2 linked regions of the Drosophila melanogaster genome follow. The protein of the gene in region 2 interacts with the protein of the main gene of each other region in a pairwise test. Each region holds a gene or a part of one and is shown on either strand. Other genes may lie near its edges. The genes, in order: CG13949 and CG13907.

Region 1 (6,912 bases), on a different chromosome or scaffold from region 2:
AACCCACCCCGGTCGGAGCTCAACCCGTTCAATCGAATCCCATATAAATCCACTCGGTGGTGGCTCCCTGTCCCCCTGGCCACCTAATAACCGACCCAGTGAGCCGCGCTCCATGACGAGAACCTTGCGCGTTTATTTATTTGATTCAATCCTTGCCTTTGTAACCCATAACTGTCATCCTCGAGTTCTTTTCACGGTTGCTGTCACGCCCCCAACTGCCGACTGCCCATTTGTTGCTAGTTACCAGCGACACTGGGAGAAAAACTAGCCAAAGATAAGTTATTATCCTTATTTTTGCTTAAATATTGAATATTCAGTATTGTTGCACCACATAACTTGGGAAACCCGGAAGCGTTGTAATACTTTTTCGAAGATAAAACATTTATGATCCTAACTCGAAAAACTGCTTATCGCATAATGAATTTCCGATCATAAAATTAATTGCCCGAATAACTTTGCAAGCTACTAGTTATAAAAATACAAGGAATATGTTGTAATTGTCATCTTAAATTCATATTAAGAAAGTATAAGTGCTAGTTGGAGGAATAGGCACTCCTTGATGGTGGCTCATATCCTTTTTATATCTTACTGCTACATTTTAGTACTCCTAGTAACCACTATTACTAGAATGTCTTCTAGCCGTGTTCTCCATCTTGGCCTCTCCCCTTTTGACGGTTCCATTGTTGTTGCGTGTCTTGGGCGAAATAAAACAAGGTAACAACAATTGATTCCCTGTCTAAAGTTTTTGCATTTGCAGTAAAGTGCGACTTGGGGGCTGGAGCACTTTGCCAGCCCCTCCTCGAGACATCCCCCTTCCAACTAGCTACGACTCCAGTCCGGGTAATTCATTTCTCCTGACGTACCTTGGCATATTCGCTGAAGTTCTGTCTCCGTCTACACCTTTCGCTTTCGTCCACGTCCAAACCAATGACATCTTCCCAGGGCTCCACTCGTGCCCTCGAACAGTGGAAGGTCCTTAAAGGCGACCAGTCCATCCATCCGATCCCAGATCTCAGCCAGAGCTTTGATTTCTATTAGCCTTAATCGAACTATTTCTAAGATCAAGATCTAAGATCTAAGATCTCTTCGAAAGGAGGGGTCCTGCTTGGAGGCTTCACTGTACTCCCCCAACGAAAACGTGGCCTCTGTTTGTCTATGCCATCTTCGCTGTTTCTGTCGCTTGCACCTGATCGAATTGGGTCCAAGTCTTCAGCTTAACTCGACTTGGCTGGGCGCACTTATTTCTGGCTGCGTTTCACCTTGGAGCACCCGGGCCAGCTGGTGACCCACCCGACCCAACCATCCGAAGATGTGCCTGGCTTTGCCTGCTACGAATGGCAATCGCTAATTGGTTAGTTATGGCCACTGACAATCAATCCGTCAATCGGCAACTAGACTGCCGAATATAAACATCCGGGTGACCTTGCCAGCTCCTGCCTTTCGGATCCGACCTTTCGGATCACTCCGCCCACTTGTTCGGCCCTTCGCAAACAGAACTAATGAAATAATCGTGTCGATTTCAACTTTAATTTCCGCTTGTCACTCCAACTGATAAACCGAAAGCAAGTGGAGCAATGCGAGCAAGGTTTGTGTACGTTGCACAATTATCAGTTTGGCTTCGGCTACCTTTTTACCTTATAGAGAGAGTGCCACGTTTGCCCTACCCACAAAGCCCTTTGCCACCCCACTGCACTGGAAGAAAATAGATAAAAAAGATACCTTCAATATACCTACTTCATATATCTTCAATCATCAGCTCGTATAATCATCGACATATCAAATAAGTTTCTGGGTGGTAAGATAATTCCTCGAAATGATCAGCACACTGTGTATGTTTTTCTTTCGGTGCTCCCAGAGTTCCCAGAGCTCTTATCTCGTTCCCAAGTCAGTTTCCCCAGCCGTATCGAATCGGTTGGGGCAAAGCGACGACACGTCTACAGAAATCAGATTTTACAGTCGGCCAACTGGCGACGGATCCGCAAATCGTACAACCAATATAGTGATAATGGGTTTACGGCCCCGAGCGACCGTGCCAGCGCACCAAGTGGAGTATCCGATTCCCAGCCCCAGCCCCAGCCGAAGAGCAGTTCTCCACTCGGATTCGGATTCGGAGTCGGAGTCGGAGTCGGACTCCGAAACCCAAACGGAAGCCGAGTATGGCGGCGGATTTAATCAGCCGGCGTCTGCTATTTGGGAGCGGAGCGAATCACGTCGCTTCTCGGTATCAGTGCCAGGCTAATCATTCCAGATCGATGGGCCTTCGAGGAGGCGCTGCTCATGGGGTTCAGACCCACCCCCGATCCTCACCTGCTGACGTACCCAGTTGGGATCACCAAGCGTGGCCAACTCATTAGTTCACTCGAGCTGTTAGCAGACCGAAAGACAACTTCCTTGGGAGGTGGCCACCATATCCACCTTGTATATCCGATCTCCACCACGTGGCGCTTTAGTCGGACATGAAAATAACTTAAGCCAAACGAACAAACTTTCGGGATGATCACAGTTTGCATTCCCTTGGCCCAAGTAATTCGCTGCCCGGAAGGGGTTTCGGATGGCTCCATGTCGGAGTAGCTACACGTAGGCACCGCCACCTCCACACTGGGTGCTCCATATCTAGCCGCCGATCGGTTGGATCGGGCGGCACAATATGCACTTGTCGCGACTCGGAACGTAACTGAAACGTCGGATTTGACGGTGAAGTTTAAAACACCAGCTCCCGACCAAGAATCGGGGCCCCACGAAGTACACCCAGTATCGTCGATCGGTTGCCCATATCTCACCTGTACAGGTGCGAATGCCAGGAGCTCGGCAACGAGCAGCAGAGGAGTGGGAGCGGGAGCGGGAGAGCCGAAAAACAGAAACGGAAAGCAAATAAATATGAAATATTGAACTGGAGCAGAAAGTGGGTGATATTCCGAGATAGCACTCACATCCGAGCGTGCGTGCTGTCTTTGTATTGGCCATTAAACGCCGCTGTCAACGTAGCCGAAGGGCTGAGAAGAAAATGAAATAGAAATGGAAATGCCAGTGGAAACGGAGCTGTCGCCCCACAATTTGTCTCAATAGCTGGCCTTATCAGAACAGGTAGTGGTGCGCACAGGTGAGGGCTCTCGCCCGCTCCCTTTGCCTGCGACCCCCGGTCGGGTGCATCCATTCAGGCCAGCTCACAGCTCAGGTCACTACGATAGTGGTGAAATGTAGTAAGGTAATAGGCTGCCCAAGATCACCATTTGATCTAATGCCTAGAAGAGAAAGAAACTCGTTGATCCCACCATTACAGTTTTTGGCTGATTATGGTACAATCCCTGTTATAAGTATCGCTTATATCTCTATGACCCCGGCTGTACCGCTGACAAGTGACACCTTCGACCCACCCGCGCTATCGCCGGCGACTTTATCAGAAGACAAGGCGAACATGCCAAGAGAGTCATAATTTTCTTTGATGTTCGCACGAGACGGAGTGTCATTAATTGATTTATTACCAAGTTGATTGCCTGGGCTTCCTTTCGGCGTGCTCCACTCAGATTTGGCGATGTCCAAGTGGTTAGATGGCCAACTAATTAGGTAAATGTGTTTGCTCTAATGTTGCCTGCCTGACTGCAGGAGATATCTTCTCGCCTTGGCAGATACACAATACTTCCAGCGGTGATAACGTCGAGGGTGGGAACATCGTCGTCGATGGGGCACTTAGATGATTGGGATGGCAACAAGGTGGCCCGCTGCGGCTGCATTTCGTCAACCGTTGTTTGCTCCATTTCGATCATTGTTTGAAGTGGGAACAGAATGTGTGAGCATACACCCCATTTCACTTGGCATTCCCATTCGCATTCTACCTTTCTCGATTCAATTTCCAGCAAATGTGTACACTTGCGGCTTGTTTATTCAGCTTGGCAGTGTCTCACTTGTGAACAATATATACAACTGGATCAAATGTGGCCACACGAATTGCTCGAGTTCCAGGGAAATACATGTCTTATAGATCGGTCTGTTGCCTCTTGGCCTCCATCACATTCTGCATGACCAGATCATAGAGATTTTCCTCCTCCCCCTCCTCCTCCTGGTTGTCTGGGTTCTTCGGATCCTTGCCCCTATCCTCTGCGTCCTGCAGACTCTCCAGCTCCCGTCGGTAGTTCTGCAGGGCCTGTTGAAGGAGTTTCTCCACGGGAGAGTACGTGGAACGCGATCTCAAACGGGCCTTGGCTATTTCCAGAGCCTGCAATGGGAATGGGAACAACCTTATGAACCTCTGATATCCCAAGAGATGGCTTACCTTCAAGGTGTTGGTGTTTCGCAGGAGAGCCTCTTCGTAGGACAGAACCTTGGGAGCAGGTGCACAGATTGAAGACTCGGCCAGCTGCTCGTTCTGCCGTTCCAGTTTTAGTTCCTCGGCTTGCCTAGAGATGTAGTCCAATATATGTATGTAACATCATCCTTGCACAGTGCCATGACCAACCTACACTTTCTCCAGTTTCTGGTCGATCTCCGCCTCGAGGGCCATGTATTTGTCGTTGATCTCCTTGATGAGGTCCATTGTGCGTCCTTGCAAACGGATTTTGTAAATTTGTAAACAAAAGCCCAAACAAACGAGTTGCCATGCAACGGTAATTTGTTTGGCAACCGTTACGAGGCGTTGCCAGCCGTGGGGAAACTTTTGGAGACGAATGGAGTTGCCACGTAGATAGATAAATATAGCGGTAGCATGAACCCTTAAGTGCCAACGATATTTTACATGGAATTTAAAAATACTATTTTACACTCCAAAAAAATTTTATTGGTTTCAAATTTAAATTACAAGAGAAAGGAGATATTTGATACATGCTAAAATAAAAAGCATACCAAACATAACAATTTTCATAGTGTTAATGAGAACCCTTTATTTCGATATCAGTTGGTTGTAAAGATTTCAGCTTTATCTGAATAGTCAATAAATGCGAAAGTAATTACATAGGAAAATGCGATAGTTTATCTCCCCATGATTTATTATATTTTCGAATAAACCAATTTTGTCAACTGTCTTGCTATTCGAAATTAATTTTCATTTGAGTTATCGTAGAGTTGATATATATTCACTTTATATAGCTCTATTGTTCATAGAAGATATATGTATGTATGTACGTCAGCATTATCTAGGAGACGCAAGTTTATTTTCTAGGTGGAACCTTTTTCGGTTTTTACACCTTCAGGTTTTAATCTCTGTTTAATCAAATTACGACTTTAGGCGCGACTACCTAAAGTTTCTTTTTGTCTAATTTGATGACTAAAGGCGATGATTATAGCATTAGATATCTTTTGAGACCTTCAATACTTTGGTTCAAAGGTCGAGAAAAGGTCTGCGTCTCAATCAGATAAGGGTAATTAAATATTAAGGGCTTTCACCACGAAACTCGCTTAGCACTCCAATAAAAGTGTTTTTAACTGTGACTTGCTAAAAAGAGAATAGTAGCTATTAAAAGATTTACTTTGAAGATATTTTGCTAAACAGCTAACTCGCCGCACAAAGTCCAAGTAGCAAAGCTGTGACGAAAAGACTTTACCTTGTTTAGTCATAAATTTGTGTTTATTATCTGTTATAACATTTAGAGCCGTGCAAATCGGGCACATACCTTTGATCACTGTACATCACAAGTGGGATGAAATACACTAACTATATACACACACAGTACTCTCTATCTAGCCGTCTACTTAAGTAATGGAATCTTACGCCTCCTTCAGGAATCGAATAATGTGGGGCGCCACTCGATCCGGGGTGACCAGGTGCAGATGATGGGTGCCGGGCACCTCAACGTAGACCACCTTCGCGGCATTCTCCCGCAGCGTGGCAATCACATCCGCATACACCTGTGGCGTCTCGAACTTCATGCCGGGAATACCCCGAATGTTGAGCACGCGACAGCGAATCTGGCGTGCGTAGGCCAACGTCTGCTCGGCGGTGAACATGCCCAGCAGGCTTACTTTTAGCCTCAGATCCCTGGCAAAGAGGTAGCCATTCTTGCTCGGATTGTGCCTCATTCCCCTGTTCATGAGCACACGAACCGAAGGCTCATCCACGGACCCATCGTACGCGTCCAGCACCAGTTTGATCATCTCGTCGTACGAGTAGCAGGGCTGCTTGCTCTCCGGCAGGGTTTCGTAGTCCAGGAACTTGTCCAGCGCCCTGCCAGTGCCCTCCGCCATCCGTTGGGTGCCGCGCACCGTGGGACCCGCGATATCGATGTTGATCAGCTTCTCCACCTCCGTGGGAAAGCTGGCCGCGTACATGAAGGTCAGAGCTCCGCCCAGCGAGTGGCCCAGCAGAGTGACGTTCTTCCAGTTATACTTGCGGACTATCCGGCGAATCAGGCATATGCCGTCCCAGAAGATGAAGTACTGCATGCCCATCGGATAGTGCGACGACTTGCCGTGCCCGGGCAGATCGATGGCCAGGATGGAGGTGTCCGCCGGTAGCAGGGGGCACAGCCTGTCGAAGCTGCCGCAGTTGTCCTGCCAGCCGTGCAGGGCGATGATGGGCTGCCTCTCCTTCGAGCCCCACCACTTGGCTGCAAGCGGGAAAATCGATTAGTACATATGTATGTAACTTGGTTTCAGCACGTGTATGTTAATCGTTCAGGGGAATCGCGTGATGTTTCCAAAAAATATTACTCAAAAAACAAGCAAAGAGATAGCGTTATTGGGCTCAGTTAGTAGAACACTTGTAGTGCGTCGAAACTAACAAAATATTTTAGCCGCGTCACATCGAAAATCACGTCGGATTGCCATGAATGGTCGATGCTGTTGATTAGGAAACGGCTGGCAGGTGACTCACCCTCAACGGTTCCCCAGGGCACCGCGATAGAGAACTCCTCCCAGCTGTCCTCGCCCAGCAGCTGCAGGGGCTCCTCCGTCTGGCCATCTGAAAGCAGGGGGAATCCACAT
Region 2 (7,116 bases):
TATTAGCTAGCAACAGAAATCGTAGGAACCGGTGGCCGAGACCCGCTCTATGAGTAATTTATGCTTATTGAGCTTCGATTCGATCCGAAAGTCACCAATTGTAAACACGATGTGTGGACGCCTTTTAATTGAGCAAATCAGCAACAAAACCATATTTTCAGATATAAAAGTCGCACCACAAACAAATTATCGGAATCTAAATATAAAGTCATAAAAATAGTTATTAGCCTTATCTAACAGAAGCTTCATATATACATATATGCTTTACCGATTTCAAATATGCTTTCCTTATAATATTTGGTGTACAAAGCAATAGCACCATGTAATTCTATGCCTACAATAATAAGAAGTAATTCATTTTGTTGATTAGTTCTTTTAATCAGTTCCCTGACTCACAAGCAAAACGAAAACAAACCAAAGTGCGTGGCGGCTAAAGTTTATTTTGGAGAACAAAGAATCCAGTATAAAGAATACTGCAGTATATGCTATTATGACACATATAGATAGCAATAAATTGCTTTCTTGTGCTTAAATTATACAAACGCTGCACTTCTTGATATACATGGTTTTATACATTCACCGAATGAATCGAATGTGCGTTTAGTAATGCTCTTTACTTTTACCATATAAAATCTATACATCATTTAACCCATAAATATATTAATGCAATTTCGTTGTTGAAAAATAAATGTATAATATATCTTCTTTTCCCAAAATGCAATAGCATAAAAGAGAAGACGATACTTTTTCATTTTCCAGCCCACGCGTCGTATGCGTAATGTGAGTCACACACATTCGCACGCCTTCATTGCTGATTGAACTGACCCGTATGCAATGAAACGACTGGTCTTCCCATAACGAAGCTTATTCGCTGCCCCATTGAAATTGATAAGTAATCTGCTCAAGCGTTGGATAATTCATGGCGGATACGGAGCAATGTAGAATACAATGAAGAATGAGCACAGTTTCCACCGCCTGGCAACAGGGCCAAAAACGAATTGTTGCAGGCAATTCAATTGAATTCATTTGTGTCAATTTATAATAAATAATACCCTGCGCAAAGAAGACAAGCGGGGAAAAGCTTAGAACAATAAGTGAAATTGAATGCGAACGAAAATTGCATAATTCTGAGAGCCACGCGACCTTCGCCGCAGAAGAAAAACAAACAAACTATAAAGTTTTTGGTGCGGATAACACGGATAGAGGGGTAAGTAAGGGTTCTTCGCCACCTTATCGTCAAGTTATTTACAAGCTGTTGACGGTTTACTGCGAAGTGCCTTTAAAGCATCAACTGATAGGCATCGATGGTGCGGTGACGAGCGACAGAAGTTAACGTGAACTGACAGCCGTGGAATACAAGGACACGCGCTGAAATGTATCCTGGTGCCAACCGCCCCCACACGCCCACATTAACATATAAATGCGAGTAGCAGATTACGAAGGAGCGGAGCTCGGTTCAGTGTAACCCGTACATACAGTAGAACTCTGGGGAGAAGTCCGAGCACTTCACGAGATAAATTTAAACTTAAGTGGAACAAAAAACATGATTTGGAATCGGTAGTTTCGCATAGTCGCAAGTCTTCTGATATGACGATTTCCCACAATTCGGATTGATTATGGGCCAAGTTCGACTGTAGCTGCCAGATAGGCAATGTATCTGACAGATACTGAGGCCAGGCTCATCGGCAAAACGGGTGCCGCATACAAAGCAACGCAACAAGTTGAACAAGCAAAAAACAGCAAGGTAAAACAGTCGAAGCATCAAACTGCGTCATTTTGAAAACACAATATTCTACAAGCTGTATTTTTGTATCCGTCGCCGTGTATCTGTATCTGTATCTGTACCTGAATCGGGGCAATGGCAATGGCAAGGAAAGCGTTGTCAGCGTAAAAAAAAAAAAACGCTTAGCAGCCAAACAAAGCGAGAAAAGCATTGACTACACAACACGGCGTATGCGCAATTTTCATTTTCATTAACAAAGAAGGCATGGGAATTAGCAAGAAAGGGGATGGTGGACATGAAGGGGTGCTCTTAGTGGGGTGCTGCGAAGAGGGTGGGGTGACAATAATTGAAGAGTCATCACTGGTTCATTCAACCTTTCAGCAACGAGGAAATAAAGAACTGAGGAAAGCTCTTGGCCAGCTGGAGAAAAATCTTTTTGTGTTCTTGTCTGTGCAAAGCTCTGTTCCCTCAGCAAAAGATGAATAGTTCAAGGATAGTTTATTCATTGCAAAAAGTGAACATCTGTGACAGTGGGAAAAACAATTTACGCTCATAAAGTGGAAAGAAAAATGTCCCTTTTATCAAACTTGTCACGTTTACTTGAAATATTTTAATTAAAACTCAGTATTAAGTTTAGTCCTATTGTGTTTGATATTACCTTAAGTAGTTTTTCTCAGTGCATTGCCCTATTTCACCCACATTTCACTCGCTTGCGTTTGGTTTTTTGGCACAGAATTCTGTTTTAAATGGGCCAGCTAATTTCCCAAAGACACCTGGTGCAAACGGCCACTAAGCAATCCATCCCGCTCATTTTGGCCCCTGAAACTTTGGATATCGAGTGTCACGGGCAACGTCCTAGTTTTCCAAACGTCCTGAGTGCATTGCATTTTGCGGCACATGCAATTTTAATAAGAGGAATTCTAAACGCACACATTGCGGTATAACAGTTTTGCTGCGATTACCGCTGTTTCGGATTAAATTTCAGTTAGGTTAAGTGTGATTTGTAGGCACACGCAGATTGCTAGCCAAGATTGGAGGCGTTGGCCATTTGAGGCCCCACGTAATGCGTTAATAACAGAGCAGCAAATCGAGTTAGCGAATCGGAACACAAAAAATAACATGAAAGAATCGTGGGAAGAGCCAAAGTGGCGCCCTCTGGCGTTGACCCACAATATCGGAGGGGTTTCATTTTCCTTCCATGTGAGCGTGTGTTTGACATGGAATTTTTATGAATGACATTGACCAACCACCCAAGAAGAAGAAGAACTGCTCACATCCCCCCGAAGGAAAGAGAGAGCCAAAGAGAACGAAAGAATTCTCTTACGACGCCTCACCGCAACAAATACGACGAAAAAGTGCTAACCAAGCCGAAAAACTGTTATAAACAACCAGAAGACAAAAAGCACATTTTTACGATTTTACGACCTGGCAACAGACGAAAAAGTTGATAAACAAAATAACTAGAAATATCTCAAAAGGCCTTCTTATCAGCTGCGTGTCGAATGCATTTTATTATTTAGGCGAGCCAACTGTAAAGATAATGCGCGGATTATACAATGGTCGGCGCCTAAAAGGCGGCAGACAAAAGTAACACTTTCGCCCGAACACGCACTTAGAATGACAGTAGAACTTCCCTAAATGAAACTTACAGTTTGGGAGTTGCACTGTTATTATTAAAAATAATTAAAAATATAAAATATAAATATAAAATATAAAATATAAATATCTACTCTATGGAAGTGATTTGCCTTGATATTTTGAAAAAGCATTTAGCAGTGCATTTGTTACACATTCGCTACAAGAGTAGGAAAAACATCCGTATGTTCAAAATCTTTAAAAGTGTCTTTAAGAAAATGTAATTTCCGTGTAAGATGTCCTGCAAAATTTTGCGTAGCTTCTGAAAAGTAAAAGTTAACCTTTAACCTAAATCGGCAGTAAAGAGCAACAGTTTCTGCGCTCTTTGGTTTAGGAACGTTGTGCAGTATAACAGTTTGAACAATTGCTGTGGCCATGTGGCAAAAGGCGGTTACCGGTTTTTCAGGCTTTACCTTTTCAAATTCAAATCAAAGAAAAGCAAAGATGATAAAAAGAAGGGAGAAAGACAAAAAGACAACCCTTGGGCAAACAAAGAGGGGTTGTTTGTCTTGGCTCTCCCTATCACTGCCACTCTCCCGCTCTCGCGGCTATTTGTTTTTGTTTCAATCAGCTGTTTTTTGGGGACGAGAGAGCGCGAGTGGAGCTTGCGCTCTGTGAGCTTGAACTTCAAATGCAACAAAACGGGCGACAGAGCGAAGGAGAGAGGGCGAGTGTTTTTACAGAAACTTAGAATTTGTCTTTGTATATCGTATAACAGTCGCTATTTGCTGCCGTTACGAGGAATTTTCATTTTCATTTCGCAGCGGACGGCGCAGCAGTTCAGAACAAAACTCGGGGAATTCAAAATCGGAATCGGAGATTGTTATTTTTCGCCAGATTCGCAAAAAGCAAATGAAAATGTCGCCCAAATGCAACTGCAGCTAAAAGTTATCGAGTAGTGTGTGTGTGCCGCCGAGTGTGTGCGTGGTGTGCGCTTTTTATCGATCACACTCCGCTCTTCTTCCTCCTCCTTTCCACCTCACCTCCCCACCCCATACCAACTCAGACACTCTGTCACGCTCTCCAATCGAATTTCAAAGCTGAAAATCGAAAAATTATACAATTGCATTCGCAAATTACGACGTACACACGTACGTACGTACGTACAGCACCCCCAAAAAAGCTGAGGAAATCACAGAAACGCAAAATCAAAGTCAAAGAAAAATCAAAGCAAAGAACCAGCGAAAATCGGGCAAATTTAAGGAAAACAAACATTTTCTAGTGACCTCAGCTGCAGCTGCAAGTGCAAGTTAAAAATACACAAACAAAGCGGAAATAAGCGAAAATAAAGCACAAAAACCGCAAGGAAAATAGTAACGGTTAAGTTGAAACCAGCACAAAATAAAGTCAAACTGTTCAACTGGAGCTAAAATATTAATAAACCAGGCCAAAGGCAGCACTCGTCTAATATTTGCTTAAATACAGGCAGCCCACGCCTTTTATCGCTAGTGAATTTATGAATTTATCAAACTAAACGAAAACAAAAACTCAATAACAATTGACACACACTCACACAAAAGCCAACTGCAGTGGGAGAGCAGCGAAGAGCGAGCTTGCAAAGAGCGAGAGTGAAGAGATAAACTTGGGCTCTCTCCTTCGCATTTGGCATTCACACGCGGGCAGCGACGCCAAGCGGACGTTCCTCCTCCTTCTTCGCCCTTCGCACTTCACACTTTCTAGCCCACTTTTTCAACTCCACCAAAACCGCGTGTGTGCCCGGGAACCCTAACCCTTCGTCCCGCCAACATGGTGGATACAAACAGTTCAAATCCGGGAATCGTGGGTGGAAACTCCGCCTCGTCCGCCAGGCTGAGGAGATTCGAGCGGACGGACAGTGAGCTGGCCTGCGAGGAGGCGGCCAGGCTGACGGCGGAACAGAGTCCGGAGGACGAGGACAATCAGGACAACGACGAGGATGACGACGACGAGGAGAGCGTGTACGGGGAACTGCCGCCTCCGCCGGACGGAGGATACGGCTGGGTCATCTGCTTCGCCAGCTTCATGTGCAACATGATCGTGGACGGTATCGCCTACACGTTCGGCATCTTCCTGGAGGAGTTCGTGGCCTACTTCCACGAGGGCAAGGGTACGGTGGCCTGGGTGGGCAGTCTTCTGTCAGGAGTCTACCTCAGCGCCGGACCTATCGTTTCCGCCCTGGCCAACAAGTACGGATGCCGAGCCGTCTGCATAGCCGGGAGCATAATCGCCTGCATAGCCTTCGTCTTGAGTACGTTCAGTACCAACGTGAGCATGCTGATGGCCACCTATGGCTTCATGGGGGGATTCGGGTTCGGCATGATTTATCTGCCTGCTGTAGTGGCCGTGGGCTATTACTTTGAAACCAAGCGGAGTCTGGCCACAGGAATTGCGGTCTGCGGCTCTGGCTTTGGCACCTTCGCCTTTGCCCCGCTGGCCACCTATCTCCTGGAGGAGTACGGCTGGAAAAACGCCCTGCTCATCTTTGCTGGCCTGATCCTCAACTGCGCCATCTTCGGAGCCATGATGCGGCCACTGACCTACCCGAAAAAGAAGAAGCAGAAGCCCTTGATGCAAAGGATGTACGAGGAGAAGCAGCTGCAGCTGGAAAGGGGTTCCTTTGCGGGCTCCCACTTCATGGTGCAGTTACCGGATGGAACCATCGAGCGGAAACTGAAGATGCCGCTCAATGCGGATCCCGGTGTGCATTCCAGCTTGAATCTGGAGCTGCTGGCCCAACAGGCAGGCGGCGGAGGTCTGCATCCCGTCTCTACCCTGCCCACCATCACGGAGTCCAAAGTGGTGGATGTTCATCGACAGAACGGCGCGCAATCTCCACCAAATGGCGACAGCAATGGCCAGTTATCCGCTCGATCCGCCGCAGGTGCCGTCGGCCGCCGTCCTCACAGGAACTCGGAGTCGGAGAATAGTCCGTACCACTCGCAGGATGCCATGACCCGGAACGCATCGCAGCCCGCCTTCCTGGCCGGAGATCATCAGAGTTTGCCCAAAAACGGATCCGTGCCGGCATTCAACACGCGAGTTAGGAAAACCTCCGCCTCGGAGCGCTTCCAGCCTTCGCTGGCCGCCATCAGGGCCACTTCTCGCGGAGATTTGGAGGCAGGAGCAGGCGGTGACTTCGCCTCCTCGAAGTTGTCGCTTTCACAACGGCAGGGCGGCAGTCAAACTGGAAGCAGCGGCAGGATGGTGCGACCCATGTCCCGCAAGGATATCTTCTACTCGGGATCCGTGACGAACCTGCCGCAATATCAGTCCCAGAAGTCCTTGGCCAACTACAGGAATTCGGTGCTGTCGCTAACCAAGTACGAGAAGAGCATGCAGAGTGTGGCTAAATTGGATCCCTTGGCCGAGGCTGAGAAGCATCGCGAGGAGTATGACCTGTGTCCCTGCCTTGGCATTCCCGATTCCGTGAAGTCCGTGGTTAACACCATGTTGGATGTTAGCCTTCTGAAGGATCCCGTCTTCATGCTTATCGGAGTCTCGAATATTTTTGGCATGGCCGGACTGTACGTGCCCTTCGTCTACCTGGTGGATGCGGCCAAGGAACACGACATACCAAAGAACGATGCAGCCATGCTTCTGTCCATCATTGGCATCACCAACACCGTGGGCCGTGTCTTCTGCGGCTGGGTAGCGGACCTGCCGCAAGTGAACTCGCTACTGCTCAACAACTGCTGCCTGCTGGTGTCCACCATAGCCGTGACTTTGACCCCATTGTGCTACAGCTACGCGGCCTACATAACCATGTCCATATTCTTCGG

The links.
Region 1: the proteins of CG13907 (region 2) and CG13949 interact in a two-hybrid assay, tested with the Drosophila melanogaster proteins (one large-scale study listed by BioGRID).

The regions. Positions count from the first base shown.
Region 1 is NT_033779.5:853,169-860,080, reverse strand, and holds CG13949 (uncharacterized protein), read right to left. Parts: upstream 4,611-6,912; 5' UTR 4,532-4,610; coding exon 4,458-4,531; intron 4,395-4,457; coding exon 4,271-4,394; intron 4,214-4,270; coding exon 3,974-4,213; 3' UTR 3,442-3,973; downstream 1-3,441. Other genes in the region: kraken, read right to left, coding at 5,698-6,536, 6,803-6,889.
Region 2 is NT_037436.4:878,892-886,007, reverse strand, and holds the start of CG13907 (uncharacterized protein), read left to right. Parts: upstream 1-3,994; 5' UTR 3,995-5,104; coding exon 5,105-7,116.